Linked DNA regions of Mus musculus. The protein of the gene in region 2 binds, or shares a complex with, the protein of the main gene of each other region. Links are inferred from orthologs where the notes say so. Each region holds a gene or a part of one and is shown on either strand. Other genes may lie near its edges.

Region 1 (7,476 bases), on a different chromosome or scaffold from region 2:
CAGCACTTGGAAGGCAGAGTTTGAAACCAGCCTGGTCTACAGAGTGAGTTCCAGGACAGCCAGAACAAAGTCAGAGAACAAACTGCTGAGATTGGACTATTACTGAATTTAGCCTTTCAAATTTCTTTCTTCATGTGGTCTAAAAGATAGCCCTTGTGTCTTCTGGAACTCAAGATTTGTGTGCTTTTGTTTCCAGAACAGGGATGAATGGTGGGTACTTCTACACACAATTAAGCCCTTCAAACTTCTTATTCGTTTTTGGTTTTTTGAGATGGGGTTTCTCTGTGTACCCTGGCTCTCCTAGAACTTGCTATGGAACTAGTTGGCTTCTCAGCTCACTGAGATCTGTCTGCTTCTGCCTCCTGATTAAAAGATAGACTTTCAGAAAGTACCCAAGGAGCTAAAGGGATCTGCAACCCTATAGGTGGAACAACAATATGAACTAACCAGTACCCCCAGAGCTCGTGTATCTAGCCTCATATGTAGCAGAAGATGGCCTAGTCGACCATCATTGGGAAGAGAGGCCCCTTGGTATTGCAAACTTTACATGCCCCAGTACAGGGGAATGCCAGGGCCAAGAAGTGGGTGGGTAGGGGAGCAGGGTGCGGGAAGGGTATAGGGAACTTTCGGGATAACATTTGAAATGTATATAAAGAAAATACCCAAAAAAACCCCAAACCAAAACAAACAAACAAACAAACAAAAAACCCAGCACTTGGGAGGCAGAGGCAGGCGGATTTCTGAGTTCGAGAGGCCAGCCTGGTCACAAAGTGAGTTCCAGGACAGCCAGGGCTATACAGAGAAACCCTGTCTTGAAAAACCAAAAAAAAAAAAAAAAAAAAAAAAAAAAATAGACTCTCAAATTTTGAGAAGGGATTTAGCTAAATGAATTGTTCAGGCTGGCTTGAGCTCATGACCCTTTTGCCTGTCTCCCCTTCTAAATACTGGAGTTGTGCATACACTAAGCAGAACTGGGAACCCAACCTTAGGGCTTCATGTATGACAGATAAGCCCTGTTAACTGTACCACGGCTCCACCTCCAGCTGACATTTTAAAAATCCAGATAAAAATCCCCAACAGGGGGGCTGGAGAGATGGCTCAGCAGTTAAGAGCACTGACTGCTCTTCCAAAGGTCCTGAGTTCAAATCCCAGCAACCACATGGTGGCTCACAACCATCTGTAATGTGATCTGATGCCCTCTTCTGGTATGTCTGAAGACAGCTACAGTGTACTCATATAAATATAATAAATAAATTAAAAAAAAATCCCCAACAGGATGATTTTACAGCCTCAGCTAGTGTCTCAAACTAAGAGAAAACATTTTATTTACTTTTTTGAGACAGGATTTCTCTGTGTAGCCCTGGCTGTCCTGGAACTTAATCTGTAGACCAGGCTGGCCTCAAACTCAGAAATCTGCCTGCCTCTGCCTCCCAAGTGCTGGGATTAAAGGCGTGTGCCACCACTGCCAGGCGAGAAAACATTTTACAAACCCATCTGTATTACCAGTTTATATGAACTCTGAAGGACTCTGGATATTTAGTTTGCTTCTTGTGGTTTGGGGTTTGGAGAAAAATTGAGGAAGACATTATCCCATCTCCATAGTGTGTCAATCAGCATGCCCACTAACAGCCAACAGCCAATCAGGTGTGGTGGCATACACCAAGATCACCAGGGTCAGAGGCTGTGGCAAGAGAATTACCATGAGTTTAATTTCATGTGAGTACATTGTTGCTGTCTTCAGTCACCAGAAGAGGGCATCAGCTCTCATTACAGAGGGTTGTAAGCCACCATGTGGTTACTGGGAATTGAACTCAGGACCTCTGGAAGAACAGTCAATGCTCTTAACCACTGAGTCATCTCTCCAGCCCTATTACCATGCCTTTAAGAATATAATTCATAAGGCAGGCATGGTGGCGCACGCCTTTAGTCCCAGCACTCGGGAGTCAGAGGCAGGCGGATTTCTGAGTTCCAAGGCCAGCCTGGTCTACAGAGTGAGTTCCAGGACAGCCAGGGCTACACAGAGAAACCCTGTTTCAAAAAACAAAACAAAAAAACCAAACAAACAAAAATTTATTTATTTATATATATATATATATATATATATATAAATTTCATAAAGTAGCAGTTTCAAGAGTCCAGGAAAACCAAGGCAAACCTACTCTTTGCTTTAGAAGACATTTAGCTTTGCTCCCTGAAGTATTCATGGTTCAGCAGCGCTTCTTAAATAGTAAAACTAAACCAATTTTAACCAGTTACTCCAACCACACTGAAAACTTGTCTAAGAGGTATTTTGAGTGACCAGAGCTTTCACTTAGTTGGTAGAGCTTGCCTAGCATGTAGACGTCTCCAGCTCAGCACATTATTGTGACTGTGCTGTTCTGACAGATGTGTCTACAACTCAGGCCCTCATGGCCAACTTGCCATGCGCATAAGTGCCCCCCAGTACTAACAAGGCTTGTGTTCCAGACTAACAGCGTTCATTTTGATTTTCTAAAACCAGGTGACGTCACATCACCTGGTTTTAATTGTAGCACTTGGGAGCCTGGCAGAGGCAGAAAGACCGGAGAGTTCAGGGCCAGCCTGGTCTATACAAGGACCCCAGGAAAAGGCAGATTGATTTCTGAGTTCTAGGCCAGACCGGTCTACAGAGTGAATTCCAGGAAAGCCAGGGCTACACAGAGAAACCCTGTCTCAAAAAAACAAAACCAAACCAAACCCACTTGTAAGCCCAGATAGCCCTTCAGTTGATCATCACTTCCTTGAGTGACAATGCTTCCAACCTCTATCAAAGAACTGGAAAAGCTAAGACAGCCCAGGGGACAGTGATGCTTAAAGTGATTTAGACCCAGCACTCAGGAAGCAAGTGTGTGTGTGGTGTGTGTGTCTGAGTCCAAGGCCAGCCTGGCCTACAGCTAGGCTACAAAGAGAAATCCTGTCTTAGATAAACTATACCATCCCCACCACAAAGAGAACACACAACAGTGAGCAAATCCAAATTTATTTTAATGCCATGTCATTTCAAAAACCTCAGCCTTAGTTCCCTGGGACAGCATGCCAGAGGTACAAATTGTAACTTCTCTACAACCCCCCAGCAAGCATCCAAGTCCACAGCTTCAGAAAGCCAGTTCTCTTCAGTCTACTCCTCTGCTTCCTGGTTTTTCTTTCAAGAGAGGAAACTCAAAAGTAGGTAGCTAGGTGTGGTGGTGCACACCTTAACTCTAGCACTGAGGAGGCTCTCTGTGAGGGCTAGCCTGGTTGACATAGTTTGAAGCCAGCTGGAATTAGCGAGACCCTGTTTCAAACCAACTCCACCCCACCTTACACACCAAACAATTTAAACAGGGGAAAAAACCCACTGGGATGTTCAATGTAGGGCCTAAAATCAAGTGAGGGAAAATGCACTGGACCCAGATGGCGGGAAACAAGGTATGACTTACTTACAATTTTGTGAAAATGGGTGGAAGGATTGAGGGACTGTTCAGAACAAAAATGGCTAAAAATTTTTACAAATGAGGATCCATTCAATAGATTAAAAAAATCTCTTCTTAATGGAGAATTCAGCTTCTAGAAATAGGAAGGGCCTAAACAGACACCCTGCCTAAGCAGGTCACAAGGAATCTGCCACCACAGCCAGCCCTCTTTGAGGGCAGATTAAATACTTGATGACAGATAGGGGGAAACAGAAAAGAAAAACAAACCCCCCCAGGAGTGAGAAATGCTGTCAGTGACAAAAAATCCCCAGTCCAGGCCTCCATGCTGGTGGATAACCTCACCTCCTTTCTGTTTTGTAGTTGGGCCACAAACCTTGACCAAGCGGAGTAGAAAAGGCTAGAAAGAGGGGCTTGACGACGGTGGATTTTGACTCCTGATTTTATTATTCAATTTCTTTTCTACTAAAAGTAGTCTTCGGTGGCTGGGAAGCCTGGCCTCCCAACACCAGAGTCAGTCGGAGCTGGTTTTTTGTTGAAAGGAGTGGGTGGGTGGGTTGGGGACCGGGATGAGGGCTGAAGACCCCCCGCTCTGCTGGTAGTCTTGGGTGGAGAAGACGAACTGCACTTGACAGAGCCTGGGGTGCGGTGGGAGGGGGTGAGGCAGGAATGACAAGCTGGGGAGGGGACCCACCTCAGTCCCCAGCTCCATTCTCTTCTAAGGTTTCTCCACTGGTGGCATTCTCTACAGTCTTGGAGGCCTACAGACAGGAGAAAGACAAGTAATTTGTATGCTGGTGTCTCAGAGCAGGAGGTGAGCTTGCAACCCACCCATTATTAACATCACACACCTTCTTTTTCTTCTTTTTCTGGGTTTTTCTACTTGCAGAACTCTGGAGAAGAGCCTGGAAAACAGAAGCAGGCGTCCTGAGCAATGTGGGATCATAAAGTGCAGTACTTTGGAAATCTTTCCAGGACGTCCACAAATGTCCCATGTTCATATTCCATTCAACACTAACCTTCAGCTCTGCATCTTGAACCTCCATCTCAGACTTGTACAGGTCAGGCTCAAAGGGACCACTGGTTATCCGCATGGGGCCGTTGGGCATGAGTAGAACTGTAAATTTAAACTGGGCAACAAATTCACCTATGGGAAAGCAAAAAGTTATTTAGTTTCTTCTGAAGTTGTAGGGAGGGAGCTCTTGAATGAAAAGACTTAGAACTCACCCTCCTTCTCATAGAGAACGTTAAATGGCTGTAGTAACTCATGTTTGGCACACTCTACCACACCCATTCGAGCCTTCTTCTCATCTTCAAATGCTCTGGGGAGAGACGGGATTCAGGTTTCCTTAACACCTATCCGGCATCACCATTTCTGTATTAGTGTGGGATTACCATGTATGACTGGAGATGGGGGTCAGGGGGCAACCGTGTGAAGCTGGTTCCCTTCTACTCTTAAATGAGTTTCAGGGGTTGAACTTAGGTTGGCAGTCTTACACAGTTCTTGGGCTGCAACTGCACATTGAATGGCCCTGCTGTTCAAGACAGGGTTTTGCTCAATGTAGCTCAGGCTGTCTTAAAACTCTTGATCTTCCGCCCCTGGAGTGCTGACATCACAAGCATCTGCCACCACACTCAGCATGTTCTTAAATCACTGCCATCCTTGTGCAGAAATTATGTTTGGGGTTGTTCCATATTATATTCAACAAGGAGATGGGTGGAACAGGGGACGTGCATTCATTCAGGAGCTACAAGTCTGGGCAGGAGAGCAAGGGAGGGAAGGAGGGAGGGCCAAGGGATGGGAAACCATTCCTGGGTGTACAAACAGTGTCAGACTGGTTTCCCAGTACTGCTCTTGCCACACGTAGTACCTTAAAGTAAACGGCATGGCATCAAAACGCCGTTCCACCTCACTGAAAAAGGCACGTGAAGTTTTCATTTTCAGGCCATATTGTTTAGAGGGGTCTCGCTTGTAGATGGTGGTTCTCTGTCCTGCATCTTTGGCCTTGCCTTCTCCTGAGCTGACGAGGACATCTACAGCATAAACCTCATGCACCTCAAATTCTGCCTTTTCATGGTCCTTCCTAAAAGGAACAGAGAAGGAACCCTAAGAGTACAAAAGCCAGATATAGGGGAGCAAGCCTGTGACCTTAGCATTAGAAGGCAGGGGCATTGCTACAAGTTCTAGGCCAGTCACACACACAATGACAACTGCCCCTCAAACACTCCTCTTACAGGACCTGAGTTCAGTTCTCATCACCCAAACCAGGTAGGTAGGTGTGCCACTTGCTCCAGGAATAGACAGACACACAGACATAATAATTAAGATCCTTAAAGAAAACAAGGAAGATCCACAGTGACCTGTAGCAGTTTGGAGGTCATCTTGATCAAAGTAGGGGCCTAGACAGACAACATGTGACAGCAAAAGACAAACGGGGCTGGGCTTACTTCTGCTGGTCTGTAGGGTTCTGGATAATCGTCTTCTCTCCATCAATCACATGCTGCTTCAATTGGTGTGACAGCATACCTGCAGACAGGATAAAACCTATGGTACCAGCTACAGGGATATAGGGCCCCCGATAGCTTCTAAGTCCACTCATATAAGAAGATTATACATGACTATGGAAACAAGGTATGGGGGGTTTCTGCCTTAGACAAAGCCAGAGCCAGGAAGGAGACTTAATTGATCTGGTTATCTCAGGTCTCACCTTCTATTGGTGTGCAGTTAAATGAGTGAGCAACCTTGTTCCATGCTTCAGTCACTTGTGTGTTCTAGAAGAGCAAACAACAGGTGAGACTTGTCTGCGGCCTACCCTTTCTCACGGCAGATTTCTAACATCCTTTATTAAATGCCAGTGACTCTCACACAACCCATCACATCTACAAACTCATATCCAGGGGACGGTCCCAGCACTTGGGAGGCAAATGTAGGAGGATCTCTCAGCTCAAGACCAGCTTGGTCTATAGAGTCCAGGAGAGTAGGGCTACTCGAAAGAAACCCTGTCTCACCCCACAAAAAAATTGCATAAACATGATCCAAGGAGACAACAGAGCAAATCTATATACCCCAATCCAGAGGAAAGGGAAACAGACTCAAAAAGGTTAACTAATTTATCCAAAGCTAAGCGAGTATTTTTAGAGAAATCTTGCTATAAACCTGTATTTCCCAACAAGACTAGAGATGTAATTTCTTCCTGTGGAACCTATAAAGGCTTATCAATTCTGTATGCCTGATCTGATATATCCCCAGTGCCGGGAATAAAGGCATATGCCACCCTCCCCTGGATAGAAGTTTGTTGGTAGAAATGATGGGGTTGTGTGAGAATCACTGGCTTGGCATTTAGAGAACAAATAGAACCAAAAAACATTCGTCTCTAATTTACAAAAACAAAACAAAACAAAACAAACAAACTGTGCCTAAGCCAGGCATGGTGGTGCAAGCCTTTAATCCCAGCACTCAGGAGGCAGAGGCAGGCGGATTTCTGAGTTCGAGGCCAGCCTGGTCTACAGAGTGAATTCCAGGACAGCCATGGCTATACAGAGAAACCCCGTCTCGAAAAACAAAAAACAACAACAAAAAATCTGTGCCTGGCAAAGTAGTGCCTTTACTACCAGAACTTGGGGAGACAGAAGCAGGAGAACCCGAGTTCAAGGCCAGCCTGGCATACACAATATATGAGCTGTTTCAAGATAAGCAAAAGAAAATAACATTATTTAGTGTGTGCATACATTTATTATTACTAAGTAAATGTAAGTTGTAGGGCTTGGTTTTTTTCAAGACAGGGTTTCTCTGTGTAGCCCTGGCTGTCCTGGAACTCACTCTGTAGACCAGGCTGACCCCGAACTCAGAAATCCTCCTGCCTCTGCCTCCCAAGTGCCACCACTGCTCTCGGCCAGTTCTTGTTTTCTATCAGGTAGGCCCTAGGGATCAAACAGGCCACCAGGCAGAGTACAAAGGGCCCTTACCCATTGAGACATCTTGCTGACCCTAACAGTCCTCCTCATCCAGGGTACTGGTCCCTCGGACACTTTTCCTAGTTTACAGATG
Region 2 (3,382 bases):
TACACGTAATCAACCAATCCTTCTATGAACGTGCCTTCTATGTAGTCTATGTATCTGCACTTTGTTGAGGACACATAGTTCTCCTATAGAACTGTGATTCGTCCGTGGCAGAACTGTGGACTGAAGCTGGCTCCTAAAACTTGTTTAAATGTATATTAATGTCTTCCATTTATCTCTTAGGCTTTAGTACTTCTGTATTTTATTGACTTGTATTCATTCTTTATATTTTTAGGCTATTTAATGGATTTGTTGTATTGTCTCATGAGTTTTGTTTGTCTTTTGATTTAAAGAATATTTTCATTTTTCTATAATGGGATATAGTTGTACATTGTTATATTTAGTTTTAATTTTCTCTCTGTGATGTTAATACATTGGCTCAGTGCAGAAAATTTAGAATATTCGAAATTATCTAAAGGAAAAAAGTATCCATGGAAACAAAAAAAAATTCCTATAGTACTGTTACCCAGAAATAACCACTGTTAATTAGACCTGATACATAAGAGAAATGGTATAAGCACTCGCTAAGTGAATGGATTAAAAGTTTTATGCAGTCTTTGCTCATATGGCTCCTTTGAAAAACTTACTGATGTGAACTTGTAAAATAATAGTTTTCTTTGTTTCTCTTACTATATTATATACACTTTTTCATGACAATAGTTTTCTAATTTTTTTAAAGCCACATTGAATTTGCATTGAGCCAAGCTTGCCACCAAGAGTCCATCAGTCACCATGATGCTGAGCACAGAGGGCAGGGAGGGGTTCGTGGTGAAGGTCAGGGGCCTACCCTGGTCCTGCTCAGCCGAGGAAGTGATGCGCTTCTTCTCTGATTGCAAAATCCAAAATGGCACATCAGGTGTTCGTTTCATCTACACCAGAGAAGGCAGACCGAGTGGTGAAGCATTTGTCGAACTTGAATCTGAAGATGAAGTGAAATTGGCTTTAAAGAAAGACAGAGAAACCATGGGACACAGATATGTTGAAGTATTCAAATCCAACAGTGTTGAAATGGATTGGGTGTTAAAGCATACAGGTCCAAATAGTCCTGATACTGCCAATGATGGTTTTGTACGACTCAGAGGACTCCCATTTGGCTGTAGCAAGGAAGAAATTGTTCAGTTCTTTTCAGGGTTGGAAATTGTGCCAAATGGGATGACACTGCCAGTGGACTTTCAGGGGCGGAGCACAGGGGAAGCTTTTGTGCAGTTTGCTTCACAGGAGATAGCTGAGAAGGCCTTAAAGAAACACAAGGAAAGAATAGGGCATAGGTACATCGAAATCTTCAAGAGTAGCCGAGCTGAAGTCCGAACCCACTATGATCCACCTAGAAAGCTCATGACTATGCAGCGCCCGGGTCCTTACGATAGGCCAGGGGCTGGAAGAGGGTATAATAGCATTGGCAGAGGAGCCGGGTTTGAAAGAATGAGGCGGGGTGCCTATGGTGGAGGGTATGGAGGCTATGATGACTATGGAGGTTATAATGACGGGTATGGTTTTGGGTCTGATAGATTTGGAAGAGACCTAAACTACTGTTTCTCAGGAATGTCTGATCATAGATATGGAGATGGTGGGTCCAGTTTCCAGAGCACCACGGGGCACTGTGTACATATGAGGGGGTTACCATACAGAGCCACCGAGAATGATATTTACAATTTTTTCTCACCTCTTAATCCCATGAGAGTGCACATTGAAATAGGACCTGATGGAAGAGTTACTGGTGAGGCAGATGTTGAGTTTGCTACTCATGAAGACGCTGTGGCAGCTATGGCAAAAGATAAAGCAAATATGCAACACAGATATGTGGAGCTCTTCTTGAATTCTACCGCAGGGACAAGTGGAGGAGCTTATGATCATAGCTATGTAGAGCTCTTTTTGAATTCTACAGCAGGGGCAAGTGGTGGTGCTTACGGTAGCCAGATGATGGGAGGGATGGGTTTATCCAACCAGTCTAGTTATGGAGGTCCGGCCAGCCAGCAGCTGAGTGGTGGCTATGGAGGGGGTTATGGTGGTCAGAGCAGTATGAGTGGATATGACCAAGTTCTTCAGGAAAACTCAAGTGACTATCAGTCAAACCTTGCTTAGGAAGCAAGGGACCATCCAATAACATCTACATGAATAAAAGCTATCTTTATAGGAACTGGATAGAGTAGGGAGGGTGTCTTTATATCCAGTATGATTGGTAAATGGGAAGTACAACTGCTTCTGATCACTATTGGTCAGCTTCTTTCTTCTTTTTCCTTTTTTTTTTTTTAAAAAAAAGAACAAAAATTTAAGTTTTAACAGTTTCGCATTACAAGCTTGTGATTCATGCTTACTGTAAAGTGAAAGTTAAGATTGTTTTCAAACTTTAAGCTCAGCAATTTTGAACACTGAAAATATTCATCTAGGATGTAATAACAAGTTCAGTATTGACCATAACTGTCAACTCCCCTTTGAGCTTTCCTCAAGTTAGTTATGTTGTAGGAGTGTACTTAAGCAGCAAGCATATTTAGGTTTAAAGCAGTTTCACTTACGTTAAATGTTGCTCTTATACCACAATACATCGAAAACTTCAGATGCATGTTGAAAAACATGCTTTTCTGTAAAAAAAAATATATATAGGAGCTGTGTCTATGATTCAAAGTGACAACATTTGGCATGTTTGTTAATTCTAGCTTTTTGGTTTAATATCCTGTAAGGCACGTGAGTGTACACTTTCACTTTTTTTTTTAAAGATCCGGAACAATTTTGAGATGTGATACCAATACATTAGGAGTTTGGTCATGTTATTTGTATGGAATTCTGGGGCTTTGATTTAAACCTTACCTTGTATTGTGAATTCCATTTAGATGTATTGTACTAAGTGAAACTTGTTAAATAAATCTTCCTTTTAAAAACTGGAAAAATCTTGCATAGTTTGATTTTCTTTTTTAAAATCATGTTCTATTATATGGACACACAGTAACTGGCTTTTAAAGTTCTCTGCTGTTGAAATTTTAATTTTTTTCTCAAATATTCCAGGCTATGAATGACTCAAGTTTTGATCCTCCTGCCTCTACTTCCTAAGGATTAGAATTGCAGTCATACGTCACTGTCCAGTTTATGCAGTGCTGGAGAACAAACCCAGGGCTGCTTGCATACAAGACATGAACTGTACCAACAGAGCTATATTCATAGCCTAAATTTTGATTGTGTGTTGCTAGAGGGTAGAGAACAATATTGGATCTCCTTTTCTAAATGCCCTGCCTTATTGTCTTGGTGGTAATGGGGTCTTTCACTGAGCCTGCAACTAGGCTGGCAGCCAGGAAGTCCCAGTGATCTGCCACTGCTGTACACTGCACTGGGGTTATAATCACACTGATCTTACTGGGTCACACTTTGTGGGTGACCATGGCTGGGTTGTTAC
Region 3 (8,843 bases), on a different chromosome or scaffold from region 2:
AGATGGCTCAGCAGTTAAGAGCACTGACTGCTCTTCCAGAGGCCCTGAGTTCAATTCCCAGCAACCACATGGTGGCTCACAACCATCTATAATGGGATCTGATGCCCTCTTCTGGTGTGTCTGAAGACAGCTACAGTGTACTCATATACATAAAATAAAAAAATAAATCTAAAAGAGCATTTACTGCTCTTCTGAAGATCCTGAGTTCAAATCCCAGCAACCACATGATGGCCCACAACCATCCATAGTGAGATATGATGCCCTCTTCTGGGGTGTCTGAAGACAGCTACAGTGTACGTACATATAATTAATAAACAAATCTTTAAAAAACACAATAAAAGAGGGAGAAGGTCACACTTTCAAAACCTCAAATAAATATTGCTATCAACATTAATTTTGTATTTGGCAGGATTATGAACAAGTAGCAGTGAAAATATCTAACTCTGCCAGGTGGTGGTGGCACACGCCTTTGATCCCAGCACTTGGGAGGTAGAGGCAAGCAGATTTCTGAGTTCAAGGCCAGCCTGGTCTACAGAGTGAGTTCCAGGACAGCCAGGGCTACACAGAGAAACCCTGTCTGGAAAAACCAAAAAAAAACCAAAAAACAAAAAACAAAAACAAAACAAAACAAAAAAAAAAAAACCCAAAAACAACAATAAAAAAAACCTCACACTTATTTTCACCCCATTATAAGAAGAAATTGCAGCCAGGTATGATGAAGCACTTCAGACCACCTGGGGTAACATCTTCAGGCCCCCCAAAAAAGACTCATCAGCATTAAAAAAAAAAATTCAATAATTACCAGTGCTGGTATCCCAGAATCAGAGGCAAGTGGATCTCTGAGTTTGAGGCCAGCCTAATTTACAGTGTGAATTTAAAGACAGCTAGAGCTACAAAGAGAAACTGCCTAGAAAAACCAAAACCAAACAAAAAACCTAATTAGTTCACCTAGGAAGTGTTCAACTTGAACTGAATTTGACCTTAGAAGACAAAGAGGAAGGAAGACAAGAGCTAGAATAGTAATTAATATAGGAACAAGTCATACTGAAGATAATCTTTTTGTTACAGATCATTTTAGGAACTTTTTTTTTTTTTGGCAAAGTCATATTGTTAATAATGGGACAACAAAGATGGGCTAATTCAGCCAAAAAGAAAGCAGAAAGACTCAAAGAATTAAGGAAGCCAGTCCTGGAATAAAATTATACCATGGCAGTATTTTTAGATGTCTTAGTTGGGCTTCAAAAGTGGCTTTTGTTATCCATGGAATGAAATCAATCCTTACGAACATTGTCTATCTATCGACAGCAACATCAAGTTTCCATGGAAACAACAGTCTGCTCACTGTTCTACATTTTTCAAGGAACAGTCAGTAAATAATCAGTATTCATTATTGGTAACATAATTTAACTAGGCGAAATGAGACACACATAAACTAAATAAAAAGATATGTACTGCTTAGCAAGGCCTACTAGAGAAGCCATAGAAATAAATGGGTCATTGAACTGGATAAATCTTTCTGAAGTGTTACCCAACCTCAGATACTTTATTATAATAACACAAAATTAACCAGTATTATGTTCATAACCAGTGAGCAATTAAAGATGAAAAAACAAAGATATGTACTATTTCTTTCATTTTCTGAAAATATGTGTAATTAAAACAAAAACCAAGTCAATTTTTCCCAGAATATTTAGGTTTTTTTTGTTTGTTTGTTTTTTTGTTTGCTTGTTTTTCAAGACAGGGTTTCTCTGTGTAACCCTGGCTGTCCTGGAATTCACTCTGTAGATCAGGTTGGCCTTGAACTCAGAAATCCACCTGCCTCTGCCCAGCGAGTGCTGGCGTGGGCCACCACTGCCTGGTCAGTTGAATATTTAGAACTTTGTCTTTTTTTTTAGTAGTAAAAATAACAAAGTTATCACCAAAGAGGTCAATATTAGCATAAATGTTAAAAAAATATAAAATTTTACTTTATTTTATTATATTTTTTTTGTTTGTTTTTTAGTTTTGTTTTTCGAGACAGGGTTTCTCTGTGTAGCCCTGGCTGTCCTGGAACTTACTCTGTAGACCAGGCTGGCCTTGAACTCAGAAATCCCCCTGCCTCTGCCTCCTGAGTGCTGGGATTAAAGGTGTATGCCACCTCGGCTGGCTTTGTTTTTGAAGCAGGGTAGACTCCCAGTGAGCTCACTATTTTCCTTGGTATCTTAATCTCCTGAGGGCTGAGATTACTGATGTGGGCTCCCATGCTTTTATGACTAACAACAACAAAAAACTGTTTTTTTTCCCCTGAACTATTTAGATTTTAAAATCGCTTAAAAATTGGATATATTATGCTCTCCTCTTCTTTACTGTGACTTCTGGTGAGAGTAGTCAAATTTGCAGTAGATCTCCCAAAATTCAACAAGTTCTTCAGGCATTTTGCCTAGAAACCTTATACATCACTTCTGCCTCTCCCCCACTCTCACTGTCCTTGATTTCTCCAGCCAGTCTTAATATTTAATGGTTTCATTTTAAGCAGCCCCACATCCTTGGACTGTTGTAAATAAATGATAACATCCAGGGGCAGCAATGACTCAGTGACTCATCTGGTTAAGGTGCTCCTCCCAAGCCTGACGTTTCATCTCGGGGGCTCACATGGCATGAGTGGTGAACTGCACCTTATTTTCTGACTTTCACACATGGGCCATGGCATGACCCACCACCCCAAGACACAATATGCATAACATAAAAATTAAAAACTAAAAATTACAGTATAAAGAATCACCCTTAGAACCTGTGGGGATCCGACTTAGCATATTTATTAGTGATAGGGTCGACACAGCTCTGGCTGGCCTTGAACCCTGAAATTCCGCTTCCCAAAAACTTCAAGAGGCATTTACCACTACGCCTGGCTGTCTCTATCCAATCATGAAAGGCTCTGGTTTTAGCTGGGAGGTAGTGACTTTGATCCCAGCACTCAGAAGGCAGGAACTCCAGGACAGCCAGGGGTACACAGAGAAATCGTGTCTCAAACAAAACAACCCCAAAACAAAAACAACACCAAGAAAACGTTTTGTTTTTCAATATTTTTAATAGAAAGGGTTTCCCTGAATGTCCCGGGCTAACCTTTCCCCCCGCCTCCCCTTTGGTTTTTCGAGACAGGGCTTCTCTGTATAGCCCTGGCTGTCCTGGAACTCACTCAGTAGACCAGGCTGGCCTCGAACTCTGAAATCCGCCTGCCTCTGCCTCCCGAGCGCTGGGATTAAAGGCATGCGCCACCACTGCCTGGCTCCGGGATAACCTTTACTAGAACTGTGTATAACAGGGTAGGCTGGACCCTCCTTGCCTCAGCTTCCGGAGTGATAGGATTTCAGGCACACAAGCTTAAGTCCAGATTGGTTTGCTTTTATTATAATTCGAGTTCATTAACAACACTACAAGGCCGTATGATTTCACACGTAAGGCTCTTCTATTCCCGTTATTACAAAACAAAGAAGCAAAATTGTGGTATCCAATGCAAGAATCCTTTTGCAGATAATCTTGGCAAAATAAACAAATAAATAAATAATCTCCCTAGACCAGCACAGAACCGGGATCTCGGCTCTGCAGTTAAACTGTTTTATCACTCTTCCTTTTTCATCCTTAGAAAGGAGGAAGAGGAAAACTCAAGGCACAGTTTTCATTTAGATAGATATGGAGGATCCGTCTAGACACTTTAACTAAGATGCAGCCCACCGCAGGTTCCCAGAGGCAGAAGCCACACTGCTCCGCTTCGGCTTTTAAATGAAATCACCTGCAACTCCCGCCGGCGGCACCGAAGTGCAGAAGATGCCCAGGTTTCCGGAGCAACAGCTCAGCGTCATCTATCTCCGCCCCGCGGCGCCTTTCCCGCCAAAGGCCGTTACCACCGCGGAGCATGGTGGGACACGCTTGCAAGATAGGTTTCACCCAATCTTTTTAGAGCGCCGAGCTGCTTTCAGAGAGGGTCTACCCCCGAGGTGGCCGACGATTCTGGACTCAGTGGGGATTAATAATAACCGCTTTAACCAGAGCATGTGATTTTTACTAAACGCCTGGACGTTCCAGCAGCCAGTCAACCCGCCAGGACGCGAGGGACTTTTTCCCCTCCGTGCGGAGGGTGACGTCGCGCGTGCGCGAGCGTGCTTCTCAGCACCCGTTAGAGGCGTGCGCCTGCGCACTGGGAGGGACGAGCCGCTTCCTCCGGCTTCTCTTCCTCCCCCTCCCCCCCGGTATCAGTGCGCCGAGCTGATAAAGGCGCCATTTTGGAGCGGCCGCGGGAGACGTGGTGCCGCTGAGGGCTCGCTCTGCCGTACGCTAGGCTTGGTAGGAAGGCCTCTTTTTTTTTTTTTCCTTCCCCCCCCCCGAGTCCGCGCTTTTCGTCGTCGCCGCCGCCGCCATGTCGGGAGGTGGTGTGATCCGTGGCCCGGCGGGGAACAACGACTGCCGCATCTACGTGGGTAACCTACCTCCGGATATCCGAACCAAGGACATCGAGGACGTGTTTTACAAATACGGCGCCATCCGCGACATCGACCTGAAGAACCGCCGCGGGGGACCGCCCTTCGCCTTCGTTGAGTTCGAGGACCCGCGGTGAGGCAGCGTGGGGCGTGCGCGGCCTTGAGGAGATAGCGTGGAGGAGTTGGGGAAGGCTCGGAGGCCTTGGAACATAATGGGGGGAGAGGAGGGGCTCCGAGGCGCTATCGCCCCTGCAGGAGTCGAGTCAGGAGAGCCGAGAGGCGGCGCGTTGTCTCCGGTGGCCGGCCGCCTCGGACGTCCCCCCTACCCCCCGAGCCCATGCGCAGCCCCCGGAGCGGGAAACCGAGGCGCTGAGGGCCGGCGAGGTGGTCGGGAGCCTCTGCCCGGCGTGGTGCTGGGTGGGGGAAGGGCCGGCCCTATTATGCGGCGCATGTGGGGCTCCGTGTGGCCCCGTGGGTGCGCATGTGCGCTGTGGCCGCGGCTTTTCACCCCCGGAGCGGGCGAACGAGCTGGGTCCGGCGGCTCCCTCCCCTCATCACCCCCCCCTTTCGCTTTCTGTGATCACACGCAGAGACGCGGAAGATGCGGTGTACGGTCGCGACGGCTACGACTACGACGGCTACCGGCTGCGGGTAGAGTTTCCCCGAAGCGGCCGCGGGACCGGCCGAGGCGGCGGCGGGGGTGGAGGCGGCGGCGCCCCGAGAGGCCGCTATGGCCCGCCGTCCAGGCGGTCCGAGAACAGAGTGGTTGTCTCTGGTGAGTTGACTTCGTGCGGGTTAAAATCTTTTTCCCGCATGACTGCTTTGAGTACTGCAAGGTTTTTGTTATTGTTGTTTTTGTTTTGTTTTACACACGGGGTCTTGGACTACTTCGGTCTTTGGGATGAATTTAGTAAATAAAGATTACTGTGGTGGTGATTTACCCAAATTAGGTTGCAGTACTAGCCTATGAAGATCCTTTACAAATAAATTTGGACTCTGGATCTGACTCTTACCAGCTCTTTACCTGGAAACACTTAAGTACAATCATTAAGTATTTTAAAATAATCCTTGTTCGAATGTACTTTACACGTTTGCCGTGGGACAGGATGAGTAGTATTAAATTAGGGGGAATCGCTTTTTCAGGACTGCCTCCGAGTGGAAGCTGGCAGGACTTAAAGGATCACATGCGTGAGGCAGGTGATGTATGTTACGCTGATGTTTACCGAGATGGCACTGGTGTCGTGGAGTTTGTACGGAAAGAAGATATGACGTATGCAGTTCGAAAACTGGATAACACTAAGTTTAGATCTCACGAGGTAGGTTATACACTTATTCTTTTTTTTGGCCAGAATTGGATACAGTTTTCTTAACAGTGGAATTTGAAGGTAAGGATACAGGCAAGGGTGTTCACGTAAATTACCAGAGCCCTGATCTGTCTTTGTATTCGTTCAGCTTGTCTGAAGACAGGTGAAAGCTTAGATCTTTCAATGGAAAGTTCTGTCTATCCAATAGGGAGAAACTGCCTACATCCGGGTTAAAGTTGATGGGCCCAGAAGTCCAAGTTATGGAAGATCTCGATCTCGAAGCCGTAGTCGTAGCAGAAGCCGTAGCAGAAGCAACAGCAGGAGTCGCAGTTACTCCCCAAGGAGAAGCAGAGGATCACCACGCTATTCTCCCCGTCATAGCAGATCTCGCTCTCGTACATAAGATGATTGGTGACACTTTTTGTAGAACCCATGTTGTATACAGTTTTCCTTTACTCAGTACAATCTTTTCATTTTTTTAATTCAAGCTGTTTTGTTCAGAATGGGCTAAAGTGTTGAATTGCATTCTTGTGTAATATCCCCTTGCTCCTAACATCTACATTCCCCTCATGTCTTTGGTAACTTGTATTTTAAGTGATGTCATAGACAGGATTGTTTAAATTTAGTTAATTTCCATGCTCTTCAGACTGTGATATTATGTAAATGTCTATTCTGCTCTGGTTTGTGTGAAATGGGATGTTGGGGGTGTTTGTGGTTATCTTACTTGGGGGAAGTTCTTATGTTTATCTTGCTTTTCATGTGTCTTTCTGTAGACATATCTGAAGAGATGGATTAAGAATGCTTTGGATTAAGGATTGTGGAGCACATTTCAATCATTTTAGGATTGTCAAAAGGAGGATTGAGGAGGATCAGATCAATAATGGAGGCAATGGTATGACTCCAAGTGCTATTGTCACAGATGAAATTGGCAGTATTGACCTTATACTAGAAGGCGAGGGTTAAAAATTTATCTACCTTAAAAGATTTGCAAACACTTAATGCAGTTATCTTCAGCTACAATTGCTTTGCTTTTTAAAACCTTGGCAATTGTGGTAGAATTGCCCATTTTGTAACAATTATTTGCTCCCTTCCCCCCTTTTTGTTTTAATAGGGACTAATGTGGGAAGAATGGCTAATTTGTCACAGTGCTTAGTTACAACTGTTAATGTGTGGCCTGCTGTTGGTGTACATGTGGGTACAGGGTGTCAATTTCCAAACAGAGTATAATATCAATACTGCTAAATCTGCATGTCCTCTGTGTGACTGATAGAGCATTGTTATTTCATTTTTTAAAGACAAAATGACAGCAAAATAATAGAATTCCAACGTATTAGTGTAGATAATCTAGTTGGGAGTACTTTAAGTCTCACCTTCCCTTTTAATATTCATAATTGACTCATGTTTAAAACACTTTAATTTACAAGCTAAATTGCAGATGGGAGCAATAGTTTAGGTTTAGGTGGGTAGTAATACCAGTAAACTTCAATTATATAACTTTGCAACCACAAAACCTGTGATACCTGTACAGTAACAAGTGTTGGCATTATCAGTTGAACTGTAAATATAAAGTGCTTCTTCCAGTTAGTCTCTATAGTTATTAAGTTTCTAAAATTTATCTGAACACCATACAGAAACTTGTTTTGGGGAATTTGATAGTTATTGATGTGCATCTGTAAACTGATGACAGACATAACTCATCATTCCCCAGAAACTTTTTTTGGTTACAGTGTCTAACATTTTGCCTCCTCTTTTTTGGTTTTGCTGGTTATAAAGGTTTGGATTGGAGAGGGCTCACTGGATCCCAATCCTTGGAGCTGGATCATTGGATTCAAATCATAATGTGGATAGGATAGGGAGGATGAATTACCAGGATTCATGGAGCGGGATCAGATTACCAGGAACATAGGAGTGGATTCCTTCCTGCCCCAACCAAACCGCATTCGTGTGGATTTTTTTTTCATTCAACTTAATTGGCTATTCCAAAGAATTTTTTTCCTATTTTTGACGATTGGAGCCCTTAAGATGCACGATGGAATTGTGTTTTGCATTTTTTGGTAAAAGGAGCAAAGCGAGGACCTGGAGATATACGCTGGAGCAATCTCCTTGGAAGGATTCAGCACGAGTAGATGGTAAACATTTAAAGGGGAAAAGGGGGGGTTTGTTTAAAATAGTAAATCAGTAAGTCACTTCTAAATTTAAAGAAAACAAAATTGGAGTTGAAGAATAAGTAGGTTTCCAATTGGCTATTGCCGTTTTTCTTTGAAAAAAATAAACATTTTTTAAAAAACGATGCATGGTTGTCCTTTTTCCTCTTGTAAAATTTTGATTGGGTAACTAGTGTATCAGTTATTTAATTTGATAAGATTCTGATTCTGTTTATGTGTTAGTAAATTAAAGATTCTAATAAATGATGACTGTCTCTGTTGTGGAAGTCTTAAGAGCATAATAAACTGAGTGTAAGGCAGTTACATACGTAACAGTTGTGTAGAGGGTAATGATCTGGAAAGTAATCTTTCATATTTTGCTAAAGAACTTACAGTTGCTGTTTATTTTGGTAATGCTTTAGACAAAATAGGCTTTTGTACAAAGTTTGATAGCTAATCAATTTTAGCTTTGAGATTCTCAGTGGAACTCAAATTCAGTATTAACATTAGGAGACAAAATAGACTACACAGTTTTTTTTTTTTTAAATTTTGGATAGTGTGCTGTCAAATGCTTATTGGGTTAATAAATACATTATAAATCTTTTCAGCCATAGAGTGTTCTGTCGCCAAACTGTTCTGTATTGAGTCAGCAATTATATATATATCTTAGTCTAGTCTACTGTTGTATCTCTACTGATAACCCCTTGAAGCTTAATCTTCATCTTAATTGGTTTGGAGAATGGAACTTTTATTTAAAATCCCAAGCTTGTGATTTCCTCCTGGCTAGAATGAATAGACCACTATTCACCACAGTAGAAATAGCTAGATCTTTAACTTTCCTTGAGTTGCAGGCTAAATATGATATTGTTCAGATGTAATGTAGAATATAGGGGAGACCAGAAATTTTTGCTAGTGAAAGAAACAGGTTTCAAGAAATTTGC
Region 4 (8,703 bases), on a different chromosome or scaffold from region 2:
GTAATCCAAAGCGAGTGAATCAATTACCGCTTGGACATTGTGGGCCTCGTCTTCTTGATTCCTGGGAAGAACTATGAGGTCTGTATGGCGGGAGGGAAAGTCACATTGTTTTAGATCTTTGAGGAGCCAAATTTTAAAATATAAGTACATATATTTATATTTGTCATAGTCTATGACTAAGCTTCTGAGTAAACTCTGCTATAAAAGCAACTCAAACAAACAAACAAAAAAGAACTTAAGGAGTAAGGAGCCTAAATACTATGCACTAGAGACTGTATTGATTGACTATTGATTGAAACTTGTTTTTCAACACTCTGTATATATTAGTGAAATACTTTTCACGCATGTATGAGTGTATTTTATGGAAGCACCATGAAAAGGGATAAAGAGATCCCTATATTCAAGGCAATAAGATGGTCTAATAATAAAAACAAGGCTGTGCATGATGACACACATCTATAATCTCAGCACTGGAGGGGCTGTGGTAGTATTATGAGTTTGCAACTACACTTGTCTATTAATTCCCTAACTATGAGCCGCTTTCCTTGACAAAGTAAAGCAAAAAATTAAATCCCAAATCAGCTAGACATGGTGGCACATGCCTTTAATTCCAGCATTCATTCAGAAGGCAAAGTACAGCCTGGTCCACATAGCAAGTTCTAGGCCAACTGAGGCTACACAGTGATACTGTCTCAAGAATCAAGAGCAGCAAACCACAGCAGGTGCTCAGGTAGGCCTCTTAAAGGCCGTTACAAGCATCTTCTGGGAATAGCTGGCATAAAAGCTAAAGCACACATAGAGAGTATGGAGAGATCTCAACAGCAAGCCAAGTGTCTCTCTGGTATTGAAGGTGGGTGTAGTGGTGCATGCCTTTGCTCCTGGTGCTCGAGAGGCAGAGGCAGAGGCAGAGGCAGAGGCAGAGGCAGAGGCAGAGGCAGAGGCAGAGGCAGAGGCAGAGGCAGAGGCAGAGGCAGAGGCATTTTATAGTAATGCTTTCTCAGAGCCAAAGGAAGGAGCAGTAAGGATTCTAAAGATAAGGGGTCTGTGATATTTAACAGAGGACACATGCAAATGATCTGGCACCTAAAAGAAAATAAGCAGTCACAGTTAGTCACATTTACTGGCTATTTTCATTTACTCAATCTGTGGACCAGGCTGGACCCCATCTCTGTGGAGAGATCTACCTTCCTTCTGCCTCTCCAGTGCTGGGATTAAAAGCATGCACCACTACAGCATGAATTAGCTATCTTCTCAGTAAATTAGGTTAACCAAATACAAACAACATTTTTTTTCCCTTTTAGAAACAAGGACTATGTAACTTTAGAATTCACTATGTAGACCAGCCTGGCCAACACACTTCACTATAATGTTAATTCTTATCTATAATCAGTAGTTAAGATCCAATAAATTTCAAGACCTATTCAAATTTAGAATCTTGAAGGTAGTTACAGAAATAACGTTTTTAAAGGCATGAATGAACTATATGAGATTGAGTCAAATGGGGATTAATTCAAATAAACGCCAAACCATTTATTTAATCATGGCTATTATTATGGGTGAGGTCCATACTGTACTCATTAAAGCAACTTGCACCATATTTGGATAGAAATAAGATATTGAAAGGGAAACAAAATTCTATGTCAAAGGAAACCTGTGACCTAAGACATAAAATTATTCTCACTTTTCAGTACCCTTACCTGGTACCTTTTCTCCCAAAATGGATTGATAAAGGGCAATAAAAACATTAGCATCACAGTCTTGAAGTTCGTGTATCCTCAGGTGTATGTGACATTTAAAAAGGAGGTTATTGGCAATTGTTACCCATTCTGTTGGGGAAGAAGTGGGGTGGGAGGAGGGGGAAATCAGTCTTCAATAGCAATAGAGAAAGTCATATATATGTACATTTAAAAATCACTGCTGCACAAGAATATACATTGGAAACTGTACAAGATAAGGACTCTTATGAAATTTCAAAGACTCAACCAGGCAAGTTCTCAAAAGATGTATTTAAGATAATTTCCTGTGCTAGCTAGCTTCTTTGAAGTCAAAACAGCTGTTCCAACCCAACTCTTATTCTTGTAACCTAAAATCCTATTTGCCAGTATTTTTATACTCACATGGGTGTTTTTAGTTACAATAAATTTATAGGTAACCAGGAATGTCATAAGTCAGCTGTAAATGATAATCTAAAAGTTGCTAGAAACTAACGGAGGTGGCTCAGAATTCCCAATAGTTTTAGACATGTTTTTACCCAATTATCTTGTGTAAGTTAAGATCTCTCGGGTGCCCAAATAAGGGATTAATTTAGGCTGTTAGGAACTTGAATAATGACAACACCGACACTAATGCATTTGTTAGTTTTCCTTTTATTATATTTGATGTATACGAAGGTAAAAAATGAAGAAAAAAAAAACCCAAATCGCTAAGTTCTAAATTAGCACATTAATTGTTTTCCAAAACCAGCTCTTGCCCTTCCCTAGATAGTGCAGGACTAAGGTTAAGGATTTCAGCAATAATTCCAAAACTTGAAACCCCTGAATCTTGAAATGACTGGAACTGGCCACATTTCCAGTACTGACACACGCTCTGGAGACAATAGTCTGAATATGTCATGCCCAGTATGCCCTCTTCCCGATGCCTATGTCGCACAGCTGACCAAGCCATGACAACCATTTTGGAAAGAGAGGAAAGCGTCCTAGACAACCGAATCAATTGGCTTTTCAAAGGCAGTACTAGAAAATGCCAGTTACTCTAGAGGGCATCAAAAGAACTTATGAGTGCTATGCCTCAAAAAGGAAAAAAAAATCAATATAAAGATAAGTTCTGCCTTAGTCCAAACAAAGCAAGGGGAAAGAGAGACAGTCTGTGGATAGATACCCCACAAAAATTCGGATCCAAGAAAGGATCTTGACTGCTCTATATAGACAGGATGCGGGTGTCCCAGGCTCGACAAAGAGTTCCTATCTCATCCCAAGTCTCAGTTCCACGTCTGGAAACCGCAAGAGGTTTCGAGGCTGAGACCCTAAATTCATAGAACCCCCCCCCCCACCGCGCGCGCGACTGCAACTAGTGTCCGACAGTCCCGAGCCTCCGCAGCGGCGCAGACGCGGTTCAGATTCAGCCCAAGGTCCGCGGAATGCTGCAGTACAAAACCACCAGGGCTCCAGGCCGAGACTCACCAGCCTCTGAGCTGGCCATACTGCCAGGAGAGGTCGCGGCCGGACTCCAAGACGAGAGCGCGGGCGACGGTGTCCCAGAAGGGTCGAACTCGGTCGAGCCGACGGGAGGAGGAGGGGGCAGACACTAGCGAGCGGGGAAGGAGGGGTGGAAGAGGGAGGGACGTTAAAACGGCTTCTCGACGCTGATTGGACAGCAGAGGAGCACTTCCTCGCAGCACGCGCTGAGGCGGCAGTTTGCGGGCTCCAGATACCATTCCCCGCGGTCAAGATCCCGCTTACGGGTTCTCAGATCGGCGGGCAGGGCAGCCAGGTCACCCAGCAGCCCGGCCGATCTCCCCGGGGGCGTTGGAGCCGCGCTTCCGGTGAGTTGGTGGTTTGGTGTTCCTCCGCCGAGAGACCAAGCGAGGAAGTAGTGCGATCCGCCTTGCCCTGGGTCCGATCACGTGATGAGGCCAAGCTCCGCCTCCCTGGTCTCCTTCGGTTATGGGCGTGGGGGGAGTCTGTGGAGACGTAAACATCTTCAAGTAGAGTCGGTGGAATGGCTGGCGCTGGCCATTTTAAGGACCGTCTGGCCACGGGGAAGCAGCTTGTCTGAGGTGTAGCGAGACGAGAGACGGCGGTGTCGCCAAAAGGGCGTCGGGGCGAGGCATTCTAGTGGTGTCACCCAGTCGTGAAGCGAGTAATAAACGGGCGCCGGGGAGGGAGCGCCCGCCCGCGGAGGGGGAGGGGCGAGAACATGGCGGATTCCGGAACCCGGGCGGGCGGGCGTTGAGGGCCTCCGAGCCAGGGGGGCGGGGTGATTAGGTCATAGAGCGGCTCCCAGCGTGCTTTGCGGCGAGGAGGCGGTCCAGACTATAAAAGCGGCTGCCGGGACGCAGCCGGCACCTCATTCATTTCCATCGGTCCTTGCCCTCGCAGCTCCGGCCCTCGACACCACCGGCCCCTCCGCTGGTGACGCCCCCGCAGAGGCTTCGCCGTCGCCGAGGCCTTCTCTCCGCGACTCGTCGCCGCAGGATTCTACTTTCACTGGGTTCCGCCCGCACACCGCCACCATTGACGCCATGTCGAGTTATTCTAGTGACCGAGACCGCGGCCGGGATCGAGGGTGAGTGTGACAAGAGACCTGTCAGGCCGGGTGGGGGATGGGAGAGCGGCGCGGCCGAAGGCTCGCCTTCCCAACCGACCTTTAGATTTTTTTTTTTCCCTTCCTGAAAGGAGGCCTGGCTTTTGTCACACGTCCGGTTAAAAGCCGTTAAAGGCTACGCTTCGGGTAATGGCGTTCAACCTTTTTTTTTTTTTTTTTTTTTTTTTTTTTGGTCCGGGAGGGTGGGCCGGGACCCGGGGCGGCCCGGCGACCTCGCGGCTGTTGAGGGAAACCCGGAGGAGTGTTTTCGGTCGGGAAGCGCCGCGCCTTTGAGGCGGTTCCCGGCGTCGTTTGCGCAATCTTTCGTTGGGTTGTTTTTTGAGGGGGGCCCCCCCTTCCGGTATCCCCGGGGGAAAGAAGGGGCGCTTTCGAGGTCCCCTGTGCCCCGTTGGGTGGCCTACGCCGGCGGATTCGGCCATGTGGCGGAGCCGCAGCCACAAAATGCCGGCCTCGGACATGGCGGCGGCGCCTTTGTTACCCCGCCCGGCGGAGGAGCTCAAAATGGCAGCGGCGAGAAAATGTGGCGCAGAGAGAAATGCGAGACAAAGAAGGAAGCGCCGCCCCAGCGGGAACGCCGCCCGGGCCGGGACTCCTCCCCCGGTTGCTTTCGGCTCCTCCTCTTTTTCTCCCTCGCGTTATATAATTTTGTTACCTTGGTTTGCAGCCGTTCGCGGCGTTTCCCTAGACTCGGCTCGCTGGCGCCTGTTCCCCTTTCTACCCTGTCCGCCGTGCTAGCCTCGTTCAGCTGCTCACATTGCCTTTGCGGCCCCGTTATTTCTTTAAGATTAGGTCCTTTGATGAAAACGGGCAAAAATAACCTTCCTAAGCTCCTCCCTTCTTGCCCAGCTCCTAGACGCTAATGCCTAAGCTCTGTGGGGAGAGAAGATGGAGGCTCTAACTCTTGTCCTTGTAATCTGGTCAGATGTTTGGGCTGTTTGCCACCTGATAAACCCACGATGTTTATTTGGCCTCAGTAGAGTGTGCTTGGGACTTCAGAAAAGAAACGCTGCCAGTTGTGGCTGTCCTTAGAATGACAGTTGGGAAGGATTCCAGAAGCACACTTTGGCTCTATCAAAAGGCAGCAGATGAAATGTGAGGGCAAACCTGTTCATGCAGTATCTTTCACAATGTGCCCAACTTTTGTTTTGTGTGTGTGTAGGTTTGGTGCACCTCGATTTGGAGGGAGTAGAACAGGACCCCTCTCTGGAAAGAAGTTTGGAAATCCTGGGGAGAAACTAGTTAAAAAGAAGTGGAATCTTGATGAGCTGCCCAAATTTGAGAAGAATTTTTATCAAGAACACCCTGATTTGGCAAGGCGCACCGCAGTGAGTTTATAAATGTGGCTTCTTCATGCTGTAACTCAGTAACTGCTTCTAGTCAATTAGATGGAAATGTAATAGGTGCCTTGCAAATGGAGAGTTGCTTGTGGTGCACTTCCATTGAATTTTTCTTGTGATATATGGTGCCCTATTTTAATCCTGTCACTGGGGAAACAGGTTTAGCAGTCTATTGGGCTTCATAGAGACTCAATTTTCATTTAAATAAGTATTATAAATTAATTATTAATTTTTGTTGCCAAGTAGAGTTCTTATTTATGGGTCCAGATTTTTAGAAATAAGTATGTTTAAAAGTTTATTGAGCTATAGGGAGCATGGCAGAAGTCTGAGGCTGAGATAATTTGTTTTTCAGCAAGAGGTAGATACATACAGAAGAAGCAAGGAAATTACAGTTAGAGGTCACAACTGTCCAAAACCTGTTCTGAATTTTTATGAAGCAAACTTTCCTGGTAAGGACTAACTTTCATCTTTATCCTTTCATTTCCCCCCCCCCCCTTGCTTATAAATTTGTTTTTAAAATGGTATTGTTGGTTGCAGCGAATGTCATGGATGTGATTGCAAGGCAGAACTTTACTGAACCCACTGCTATTCAAGCTCAGGGCTGGCCAGTTGCTCTCAGTGGATTGGATATGGTTGGAGTAGCTCAGACTGGATCTGGGAAAACATTATCTGTAAGTCTAGGAAAACTTGATAAATTGTGGCAGAGGTGACCTTAGATATATAACTATTTTAATCCAATTTCTATTATTTTTACTCTTCAATAGTATTTGCTGCCTGCCATTGTACACATAAACCACCAGCCATTCCTAGAGAGAGGTGATGGGCCTATTGTAAGTATTATCTTAAGTTTCCCACCATATTTGCTAAAACTCCTTTGACTTTCATATAGGGAATATAGGGTTGCCAGTATAAACTAGCCACTTAAAATTAGTATCCAGCCCAGGCGTGGTGGCACACACCTTTAATCACAGCACTGGGGAGGCAGAGGCAGGTGGATTTCTGAGTTCCAGGACAGCCAGAGCTACACAAAGAAACCCTATCTCGGGGGGAAAAAATTAGTATCCAAAGACAGTTAGTTGGATCAGCCAATTATAGATACTTGTCATGAGCCTGATCAAGATCAACTACCACAAGGAGAGACCAACTTGCAAAAGTTGCCTTCTGGTTTCTCCATGTGCTTCCACACACAAAAATTTTATCCTGAGAATAGTGCCTGGGAGGTAGAAACTGGAGAATTCAGGAGACACTGTCTCAAAAAAAAGTCTTATGACCACCTGAATTCTAATTCCCAACACACGAAGACATAGGGTCTTAGTAAACTGTTTTATACTAAACACTTTTTTTTGTTTTTCAAACTTAGTGCTTGGTGCTGGCACCAACTCGAGAACTGGCACAGCAGGTGCAGCAAGTGGCTGCTGAATATTGTCGAGCTTGTCGCTTGAAGTCTACTTGCATCTATGGTGGTGCTCCCAAAGGACCACAGATTCGTGATTTGGAAAGAGGTGTGTGACCATAAAGGGGGATCTTTGTCACTGATGGAGATGATGGTTTTGTGTATTATAGTTAAAGCATCTACTCCTTTTTATTTATTTAATTAAAGGTGTGGAAATCTGTATTGCAACACCTGGAAGACTGATTGACTTTTTAGAGTGTGGGAAAACCAATCTGAGAAGAACAACTTACCTTGTCCTTGATGAAGCTGATAGGATGCTTGATATGGGATTTGAACCCCAGATAAGGAAAATTGTGGATCAAATAAGAGTAAGTATCTTTATGTTATCATAAAAATCAGTTCTAGGAATGCTCTTAAGATTGAAGTGTAACTTGCTTCCTTAAATCTTCAGCCTGATAGGCAAACACTAATGTGGAGTGCAACTTGGCCAAAAGAAGTAAGACAGCTTGCTGAAGATTTCCTGAAAGACTATATTCATATCAATATTGGTGCACTGGAACTGAGTGCAAACCATAACATTCTTCAGATTGTGGATGTATGTCATGATGTCGAAAAGGATGAAAAGTGAGTTTACATTTTTACAAATTGAGAAAAATCTTACATAAACTAAGAGTAATCAATTCTGAAAATTGTCTCAAAATAAAATTAAGGTAGTGTGCTATATGTTCTTTTAAAAGTCCATTTGTTGGTGATATGGCTTGGTGTGATATGAAGAACTTGCTTGGCTTGCATGAGGAAAACACTCATAGTTTTTGAACCTAGTCACTACACAAGCACGCATAAAGTGATACACCTGAAAATCTGTATGTGTGGTGGCTTAGTGGGTTTGACATTTGGATTCACTAAGCAAAAAATCAGGGTTGTGTTTGGTTTTGTTTTTATATCCTTTTAAAAATGGTGAGTTTTTCTTCATCTTTAGGCTTATTCGTCTGATGGAAGAAATCATGAGTGAGAAGGAGAATAAAACTATTGTTTTTGTTGAAACCAAAAGAAGATGTGATGAACTTACCAGAAAAATGAGGAGAGATGGGTATGTGGTTTCCTGAGTCAAAGCAGACTTAAAAGTACTTTGATCTGGGGCTAGTGTTTTTTGGGAATCATGCGCTGTGATATAGGGGTAATTGTATGGATTCGTTCCAGTGACTTGTAGTAGGCTCTGGGTTGCAATGCTTAGTGGGAAAACACTTGGCCAAGATGAAGTACAGTGGGAATAGATATTGGTAGAGTCTTGACAAGAGTTTTAAGTTGGGTATACTACTGATAATTTAATTCTTGGTATAGGTGGCCTGCCATGGGCATCCATGGTGACAAGAGTCAGCAGGAACGTGACTGGGTTCTAAATGGTATGTATTTCAAATAAGATTAGTTTGTAGCTTGATAACATCATTTGCTTGCATTAATGATTATTCATGGTTGTCTTTATAGAATTCAAACATGGAAAAGCTCCTATTCTGATTGCTACCGATGTGGCCTCCAGAGGGCTAGGTTAGTACAAACTCGAATTCATGGCTTGGTTTCCCAGAAGATCTCCATGTAGTTTTTTTTAAAGAAAGTTTATTGCTTTCTTTAACCTGCATTTTTTCTAAGTTT

What was found.
Region 1: Hnrnph2 (region 2) and Pa2g4 share a complex: the UniProt entries of both Homo sapiens proteins name them as parts of the ribonucleoprotein complex. The link is inferred for Mus musculus from reciprocal best matches to the Homo sapiens genes HNRNPH2 and PA2G4.
Region 3: Hnrnph2 (region 2) and Srsf1 share a complex: the UniProt entries of both Homo sapiens proteins name them as parts of the ribonucleoprotein complex. The link is inferred for Mus musculus from reciprocal best matches to the Homo sapiens genes HNRNPH2 and SRSF1.
Region 4: Hnrnph2 (region 2) and Ddx5 share a complex: the UniProt entries of both Homo sapiens proteins name them as parts of the ribonucleoprotein complex. The link is inferred for Mus musculus from reciprocal best matches to the Homo sapiens genes HNRNPH2 and DDX5.

The regions. Positions count from the first base shown.
Region 1 is NC_000076.6:128,554,783-128,562,258, forward strand, and holds the end of Pa2g4 (proliferation-associated protein 2G4), read right to left. Parts: intron 6,201-7,476; coding exon 6,137-6,200; intron 5,956-6,136; coding exon 5,877-5,955; intron 5,513-5,876; coding exon 5,300-5,512; intron 4,751-5,299; coding exon 4,656-4,750; intron 4,576-4,655; coding exon 4,448-4,575; intron 4,334-4,447; coding exon 4,280-4,333; intron 4,190-4,279; coding exon 4,124-4,189; 3' UTR 2,984-4,123; downstream 1-2,983. UniProt on the Homo sapiens protein: May play a role in a ERBB3-regulated signal transduction pathway. Seems be involved in growth regulation. Acts a corepressor of the androgen receptor (AR) and is regulated by the ERBB3 ligand neuregulin-1/heregulin (HRG).
Region 2 is NC_000086.7:134,604,179-134,607,560, forward strand, and holds the end of Hnrnph2 (heterogeneous nuclear ribonucleoprotein H2), read left to right. Parts: intron 1-676; 5' UTR 677-729; coding exon 730-2,079; 3' UTR 2,080-2,882; downstream 2,883-3,382. UniProt on the Homo sapiens protein: This protein is a component of the heterogeneous nuclear ribonucleoprotein (hnRNP) complexes which provide the substrate for the processing events that pre-mRNAs undergo before becoming functional, translatable mRNAs in the cytoplasm. Binds poly(RG).
Region 3 is NC_000077.6:88,043,446-88,052,288, forward strand, and holds the start of Srsf1 (serine/arginine-rich splicing factor 1), read left to right. Parts: upstream 1-3,927; 5' UTR 3,928-4,393; coding exon 4,394-4,587; intron 4,588-5,044; coding exon 5,045-5,229; intron 5,230-5,597; coding exon 5,598-5,770; coding exon of another isoform or gene 5,771-5,824; exon of another isoform or gene 5,825-5,966; coding exon 5,967-6,161; 3' UTR 6,162-8,843. UniProt on the Homo sapiens protein: Plays a role in preventing exon skipping, ensuring the accuracy of splicing and regulating alternative splicing.
Region 4 is NC_000077.6:106,783,854-106,792,556, reverse strand, and holds the start of Ddx5 (probable ATP-dependent RNA helicase DDX5), read left to right. Parts: upstream 1-4,062; 5' UTR 4,063-4,240; coding exon 4,241-4,284; intron 4,285-5,482; coding exon 5,483-5,648; intron 5,649-6,012; coding exon 6,013-6,109; intron 6,110-6,197; coding exon 6,198-6,331; intron 6,332-6,424; coding exon 6,425-6,490; intron 6,491-7,020; coding exon 7,021-7,162; intron 7,163-7,260; coding exon 7,261-7,421; intron 7,422-7,504; coding exon 7,505-7,677; intron 7,678-8,032; coding exon 8,033-8,143; intron 8,144-8,394; coding exon 8,395-8,456; intron 8,457-8,538; coding exon 8,539-8,598; intron 8,599-8,703. Other genes in the region: Cep95 (centrosomal protein of 95 kDa), read right to left, coding at 1-80, 1,698-1,826, 3,180-3,198. UniProt on the Homo sapiens protein: Involved in the alternative regulation of pre-mRNA splicing; its RNA helicase activity is necessary for increasing tau exon 10 inclusion and occurs in a RBM4-dependent manner. Binds to the tau pre-mRNA in the stem-loop region downstream of exon 10.